Linked DNA regions of Canis lupus familiaris. The protein of the gene in region 1 interacts with the protein of each later gene in a pairwise test. Links are inferred from orthologs where the notes say so. Each region holds a gene or a part of one and is shown on either strand. Other genes may lie near its edges.

What was found. The genes of interacting proteins can lie anywhere in the genome.
Region 2: the proteins of BIRC2 (region 1) and NMB interact in binary tests that used the Homo sapiens proteins (3 or more experiments, as listed by UniProt). The two-hybrid records come from large-scale screens. The link is inferred for Canis lupus familiaris from reciprocal best matches to the Homo sapiens genes BIRC2 and NMB.

The regions. Positions count from the first base shown.
Region 1 is NC_049226.1:29,436,963-29,440,606, forward strand, and holds part of BIRC2 (baculoviral IAP repeat-containing protein 2), read right to left. Parts: intron 2,365-3,644; coding exon 2,122-2,364; intron 331-2,121; coding exon 76-330; intron 1-75. UniProt on the Homo sapiens protein: Multi-functional protein which regulates not only caspases and apoptosis, but also modulates inflammatory signaling and immunity, mitogenic kinase signaling, and cell proliferation, as well as cell invasion and metastasis.
Region 2 is NC_049224.1:54,417,331-54,421,513, reverse strand, and holds the start of NMB (neuromedin-B), read left to right. Parts: upstream 1-1,245; 5' UTR 1,246-1,355; coding exon 1,356-1,518; intron 1,519-2,133; coding exon 2,134-2,306; intron 2,307-4,183. UniProt on the Homo sapiens protein: Stimulates smooth muscle contraction. Induces sighing by acting directly on the pre-Botzinger complex, a cluster of several thousand neurons in the ventrolateral medulla responsible for inspiration during respiratory activity.

The sequences.
Region 1 (3,644 bases):
GATTTACCTTGTTTGTCAAACATCAACATGAACATAATCTCAAAGATTTCTGAAATAATTTTACCAAAAACTCACCAAATAAGTTCTTATATAATGTAGAGTCGATTTCTTTTAAACAACTTTTGAAGATGTTGGCAGCAGAGTTTCCTTTAACTAAGACAGTATCAATCAGTTCTCTCGCTTGCAAAGGTATCTGTGTTTTTTGTTTAATGATATCATGTTCCTGTTTATTAATTACATTGGCCTTTAAAAGATTATCCAGGATAGGAAGCACACAAGTCAACTGTTGAAAAAGAGCCATTCTATTCCTCCGAATTAATGACAAATCATCTTCATTTAAAAGAAAGAAGAAAAAAAAATCCATTAGATCTTAAAGTGCTCCAACGATACTCACATAGTCACTAACAACCAAACCTACCAACAATTTAGACGCTAAATAAATAGGTGCTTGAAAAAGCACAAAATTACTTGTTTGCACTTAAATTTAATGTCTATCATTTAGAAAACTTCTGGAAGATTCAGCTAAAGCATATCATATAGTACACACAACACACAGGGTCTCTGTTGTTGTCACTTCTAAAAGTGGAGATATTTACATGTCTTAGAACCCTGCTATTCCATAGAAAGAAAGCAGAGAATTTTAAAGACCAGTAAAATAAATAAATAAATAAATAAATAAATAAATAAATAAATAAATAAACAGATAAATAAATACCAGTAAAAACCTGCCACCTCTGTACTTTCTCCCCTATGAAATTAATAATACTGACTTCTATTTGCATCATACCACTTTAGTTTTATAAGGGCTTTCGTATAAACTCCCTTATTTGATACAAAAGATCCTGTCAATTAAACAAGCAGGTAAGACTACTTCTCATTCTCAAATATGGAGGAAAAGAAACTCAGAAGATGAGTGACCTCCCCAAAGTCAGAGAAAGAATCCGTTGCAGAACCAGTGCCCTGGATGAGTGTCCTTTTCACCCTGGGCTTCACCACTTCAAGAGGAGGGGAGGACAGTAGTGGTACTCATCCCGCCAGGACAGGCCTAGGATCCCATGCCAGCCAGGCTGCTTCCTGGCCCTGTGCCCTCAGCCCTGTCACTTCCTACATCAATCTACTTAACAAAAAAATGTTTTCAGGTCTTGCACTATGCTAAAATGTTTTGTTTGCAACTTATTTAATTCTCACAGTAACCTTGTGCAATTTGTACTATGATCTCCACTTCATAGAACCGCAACCTTCATAGAACCTGTTTTCTTCTGACAGAGCCAGGATTAAAACACGAATCTGTTTCAATATCAAAATCAGACTTTGCATTTTTCTACACGACCACACAATGAGGTTCTCTTAAACCATTTCTATCATTACTTACCAGGTTCAACACAAAATGTCTTCCAGCCTGAACTCCCAATCCACACTGTCTACGCACCCCTCACCTCTGCTGGTTCTTTTGTGTACTAGACTCCACACCTCATCCACAATCCCCACAGGTAAGCACCATAGTTACCACTACAGCACAGTATCTGACAGGTGTTCACGCTCCATTTGTATTTGCTGAAGGAATGATTTCTCAAGAGACTTATTTAGGAAGTCTAAAGCTTAGCACGACCTGCATGAACACCACAATCAGCTCCCTGATTGGCTCCCCACTGTCTCTGGGCTGGGCAGGGGCTTTTCAAGCCCTAGGACTTCACCACCAGTTCCATTTTTGTATAAGGACCACTTAGCAAGGATCAGGGAGTCAAACACCATGGTAAGGATAAGATTTCAAGGAAATTTTTTAAAACACTGAAAGAAGACCTCCATTCAACTTTAAAGTCTTCCTTTCTTCTCATATATAACAATTTAAATTTGTTACATAGGAGAAGAAAAGCAATATACTTCAAGAAGTTAGGCTAAAATCCGGACTGGCATAAATCACAGATCTTGTTGGAAAATAAACATATTCTAGAAAGCTACAGTCCAGTCTGAGCACTGCCCACAGTGCAGAAGGGGATGTGTGTCGGAGGCTCCTGGCACTGCTGCCAGGAGTTAGTGGACAGATGCTGGTGCTCCTGCAACGGGTCATCCAGTCCCGTGACCCTCACGGAAATAGGGCGGGTAATTAACATTCCCAAGTACCTGATGCCATTTCTTCAGTTTGTCTTTCCTTCTCTTCCTCCCGGGTCTCATCTTCAGCATTAAGAAGTGCTAACACAATCTCATTAACTGTTCTGTAGTTCTCCCCAGTGCTCAGGATCTTACTCTGCACGGTCTGCCTCACCAGGATCCTACTGAAGCCCATCTCCAAGGCGGCCTTCACCACCGGGGTGTTCATCATGACTGTGTCTTCTGAATGGTTTTCTCCAGGTCCAAAATGGACAACTATTTGAAAAGACATGTACCAATGTTAAATCCCACAAATGTAAAACTACAGAGAAAAATGATGACTATGGCACAATCTTTCCTCTCCTGCTGCTCATATCCTGGTATGGCACATAAGCTTTATGCACCAATTACCTATAATTCCAACAAAAGTATGAATGCAAGAGGATCAAATAAGAATGTAAAAATATGCTATCCTTTTTTAAAATTCCACTTCCCACACTACACCCTGGAACCTACTTAATGAGCGACTCAAAGCACAGGGCTTAGGAATCCATGTTTTTTTTTAAATTTCTGAAATGATTCCAACATATGGTCATTTTCAGGAACCAATATGCTACACAACTGTAGGAATGCTACAAGAAAGCAGGGAAACCAACAAAGACTTCATTAAAGGTGGCGTCAGAGTCTGGACTTGCCAGGATACATGAGATCTAGAGAGGTGGACAGATAAATCCGAGAGTAACATAGATGTAAGGAGAGTTAAGACTAGTTCATGCAAAATATGTCTAACGACATAAAAATATGACTGAAGAAGTCATTTGATTTCAGACCATGATATAAAGAAAATCAAGCTGTGAAAAGTGATTAAAATAACCCAGGAGGGAAGAAAACAACTGACATGGTGGAGCAGGGAAGCACTTCCTAGAAACAGAGTCAGCACTGACCAACTTGACACTTTGGTGGAAATGACAAGAAAACATCATTCTACATGATGCATGACAGCCACCTGCTGGCAAAGTGTTCTAATAATCATGTCTCTCCAAAGCCGCCTGCAGGTGGTCTCACACACACACATACACACACACACACACACACACACACACACACACACACACACACACACAGAAAGCCAGTCTGAAGTGGCAACATCAGAACAAGCATGTGAATGAATAAAGAGGAGTTATGGGAGTATCTCAAAGAAATCCTGACACATTCAAGAACTAGAGACACAATGGTGAAAGGCACCCAGAGATGAGGATGATCCCCAGATCTCATAGTAAAGCCTCGCCAGCTTATCTTTTACTCTACATGTACTAGAATGTTTTCTATACATCTTAAGTGAAGGATGTTAAGACCGGATTTGTTTTCTCAGATGATGATTCTGGCAGCTCTGTGATAAACTTTAATGAGCTAAGATGGAATGAGGAGACCCGCCAGGAAAGCACGACAGTGATGGCAGTTTGCACTAGGCTGATAGTGCCAGATGGACATGGAGAGAGGCACGCAGATTCAGGCATGTGAGGAAGGCAGGGATGAAAGGACAGCCAACAGATGGA
Region 2 (4,183 bases), on another chromosome or scaffold:
TGCCAGAGTGGGGGATGAGAAGCTAGGAGACTGGGGGAAAAGCCAGGGCCAGAAATGGAGTGTCCCTCTCCTGTGTGTCATGCACCTAGGAACTCAACATGATAACCAGCCTCTCCTAATTCACCTTCCCTTTTAGAGTGGTGATCCATAGAGTTAGCAGGCCTTGCTGAGCTAGATACATGAAAGGGTAATAATACCAAGTACCATTATTGAGCCAGACTGGGAAGTAGGTTCAGTCACAGCTAAACCATGCAGTGTTTCAGGGAAGAGCCCAGAATCCCAGGGTTGGTCTGCACCCCACTCCTTCATCATTCATTCCTTTGGCACTGTTTCCCCAGCGAGATGGTAAACTCCCTTGAATTATCTTGTTTCCTCTCCTGTGCCTAGCATGGTGCTCCTGAAGGTTGGTGTTTAGTGAACATTTAAGCAAAACATTGAGGCAAAAATAAATGTATTATTCTGGAGCACAGCGTTTTACTCATTAAGTGATGGCAGTGACCCAATAGTTCTTTCCAAAACAAGTCTGGACTTGGGAGGAGGAAAATGCTGGTTGTGAGAGGGCAGTCCTATAGGACTGCTCCTTCCTGCCACAAAATAATTGTGCTAAATGTAAAATTATTACAAATAGGGTAATAGTTATTACTATTTTACAGTTGAAACTGAGGTTCAGGGGAATCGCACAATTTGTATATGAACTCCTGGTCTGGTCCCCAGAAAGCTGCCTCCTGCCCAAGTGGTATACAGCGTTCATTCCTGGGGTTGGGGGTACTCACTATCTCACCATCCATCATTCTGCACTGTCAGCTGGAGCACCTGCTGTGGTTTCTACACCACCTGGGGAGTGCTGGCGGTGAGAAGGCAGAGAGCAGAGTGAACATGGGTCACATTCCCTAAGAGGGAGGGGCTGGCAGGCATTTTTATGGCTCTCCTGGTGCTTGGCACTTTGCGGGGCACTGTAGCGCGAGGGTCCTCAACCCTACTCTTACAGAGGTTCCAAAGCGAAGTAACCACTCGTGGGCCGACAGCCAGTGGGAGCAGCGAGGCGGTCACCGAGGAAACGGGCTTTGCCCGGGGTCAGGGTCCTCGGCCGGAGGGTAGTGGGCGTGGACGCCAACGCCCAGTAGTGGAAGCAGGGCCAAGGCGGGCGCGAGAGCGCAAGCGCGCCGCGCGGGGGGTCCTGCGGGGCGGGGCGTTCTGGGGGCAGGGCTGGGGCTGCTGCGAGCGCGGGGGGCGGGCTCCTCCGGACAGGCTCCGCCCCACCCCCGGGGCGCGGGTTTAAAAGGAGGAAAGGAGGGCGCCGCGGCTTCGGCGGCTGCGAAGTGCACAGGGGTTGGAGGAGCGGCGAGGCTGCAGCCATGACCCTGCGGGCGGGGGGCGCTCGGCTGCTCAGCGGGCTGCTGCTCTTCGCTCTGCTCGCTGCGGCTGCCGGGGCCGCGCCGCTCAGCTGGGGTACCCCAGAGCATCGCAGCGGGGCCATCAAGATCCGAGTGCACCCGCGGGGCAACCTCTGGGCCACCGGTAAGTCTTCGGGACCCGGGCAAGCGCCCCTCACCCTGCTCTGATCCCATTTTCTTTCTCAGGCCGTTTCTCGGCCGCGGACACTCGTGTCTGCGCTGGTGAGGACCCTGGAACTTGTCTAATAGATGGAAAACTTGACACCCAGACACATCACTCAGCCAGTTAAAGCAGAGCTGGGTCTGGATCCTAGATCTGCCTGCCAGCCAGTGCCCCTTGCCTTAGGCAGGTCTACTACTGAGTCTTCCAACCTCTGGTGTGTCTTCTCTTTGCACCTCGCCTTCCAGACAATTCTTCACTCTCCACTTTCCTCCTTGCCCTTGCCTTGTCCCTCTTGTAAGCAGGCAGCACAACTGGCAGAGCTTCCCACTGGCCCTTTGCCATCTAACCTCCTTCCAGCTGTACCATCCTCTCCATCATCTCTTCCTGTTCAGGAGAAGCGGCGGTACAGGCTTTGCCACCACCCAGGGGTGTTTGTGTCTCCTTGAGGAGGAGGAGGAAGATTGATCGGGGATCTTCCCAGCATGAGAACTGAAAGTTGGGAGAGGTGGGGAACTTTCCCACTGGGATAGAATCCTTGCTCCCCAACTTCCTTGTGCCTTGGCACCACCTTTCTAGGTCACTTCATGGGCAAGAAGAGTCTGGAAACCCCCAGCCCATTCCTCTTGGGGACAGCTTCCCACGTCTCCCTGAGGGACCAGAGACTGCAGCTGAGTCATGATCTGCCCAGGATCCTCCGTCTAAAGAAAGTTCTGGGCATGAGCCTCAGTGGGCCAGCACCTCAGCCCCAGGTGAGCCAAGCTCCAACCTCAGACTCAGGAGAGGCCCAGCCAGGGCTGCTCCTGGTTCCAGCATTGGGCATAGCGTGTGACAGCCCCCCAGGGTGTGATGGGCCTCAGAAAGCCAGGGATTCCAGGCTCTCTGTGTGATCCAGAGTCAAAGGGAAAAGACTTCAAAGAAAAGAAGCTGACCTTCCCAGCAAACCTAACAGAGCAAGAAGTAGGGAGAAAGTTCCCCCTCACCCAGACCCCAGTCTAAAGTCACAGCCTAGGATTAATTAGCCAGCCTCTTGCAACGGGACCTTCTCCACACCCTCCCTGACTTGCCCCACCCCAGCTTCCACCTTTGCTGTACCTTGTTTGTACTTGTGGCTACAGCTGGGATCCTGAGGCCCAGAAAGGAGAAGAGTCAGCATCGGAGACAGAGTCAGACCTTGTTCACCTTGACCAGCACTCTTCTCAGTCACTCATCTGCCTCAGTGACCCTCACTGCAGGGTTTCTCAACCTCAGGACTCTTGACATTCAGGGCTGGAGAATTCTTTCTTGTGGGGGCTGCCCTGTGCATTGGTGGAAGTTTTATTTTTTATTTTTAAAGACTTTATTTATGAAAGAGAGAGAGAGAGAGGCAGAGACACAGGCAGAGGGAGAAGCAGGCTCCTTGCGGGGAGCCTGATGCAGGACTCTATCCCTGGACCCCAGGATCATGCCCTGAGCCAAAGATAGACACTGAACCACTGAGCCACCCAGGTGCCCTGGAGGTATAGTGTTATCCCTTGTCTCTACCCACTAGAGCATCCTCCCCACCACCACCCCATTTGTGACAATCACAAAAAACCCCAAAACAACACCAAAAGAAAGGCCTCCAGACTTCGCCAGAGCTCTTCTCGTGAGAGGGAAGGGGAGGGAGCCCAAATTACCCCTGTTTGAAACCACTGACCTATGACATTCAAGACCTGAAAGCTAGAGCTAAGCCAGCTTTAGTGTCTAGCCTGGTGGAAGGGCAGTTCCTCCATTCCCTGCTCCTGATGCTGTCCCCATCCCACACCACCTTCCCTCATACTTTGTTACTGTGCTCAGAAGGCAGGGTAGTGTGGTAGAATGTGGGTTCTGGTGACAGCATGCTAGCCTCATAACCTAGCTGTTTAGTAGTTGTGCGACTTTAAAGGCCTATCTTCCTCATGTATAAAATGGGGATGATAGCACCTATCTTGTATTAAATGAGACCATTTGTGTCATGTCTTCAGCATGATGCCTGGCACGTAGAAACCACTTAGTAAATAGGAGCTGTTGCCGGTCTGGGAGCTCCCTGGGAGCACCTGTCACAGACTCACCTTCATATCCCCCACTGTGCCCAGCATATAGTGCATGTATTTTCAAAGAAGGGAGGGGCATTTCCTAGAGATGGTCCAACGCCAGCCCCAGTCAACCTCCCGGGCCCTCCCTGTGCACAAAACCACCAGCACCTGGGGACCTCAGATATAGGGACCAGGAGCTTCGGCTAGCTGAGTCTGAAGGGAGGTGGTGTTACCCTGGAGCTGTTGGTCATGCAGACCAACTAGCGAACCTCAGAGGAAGCAGTACATACCTAGCCCGGGGGGGTGGGGCTTCACAAGTGAGGTCTGGGGCAGAGCTGGGGGTGAAGGAGTGAAAACGCTGACACTGGGCTAGATCCAGGCACATATGTGGACTTTACTTCCACGATTTCCTTGACTGTCATGACCACTCTGAAGTTGGGGCTGTCACTCTGAGATAATCGGTGCCCTGACCCTTCCCAGGCTCTTCTTCAGAGAGAAAAGTGCTGGGGTAGCCTGCCTAAGCTAAGAGCCTGCCCCTGCCTACCTCCGTGGATGCCTAGCATTCAGGAACAATGGGACACCCCTATCATTTG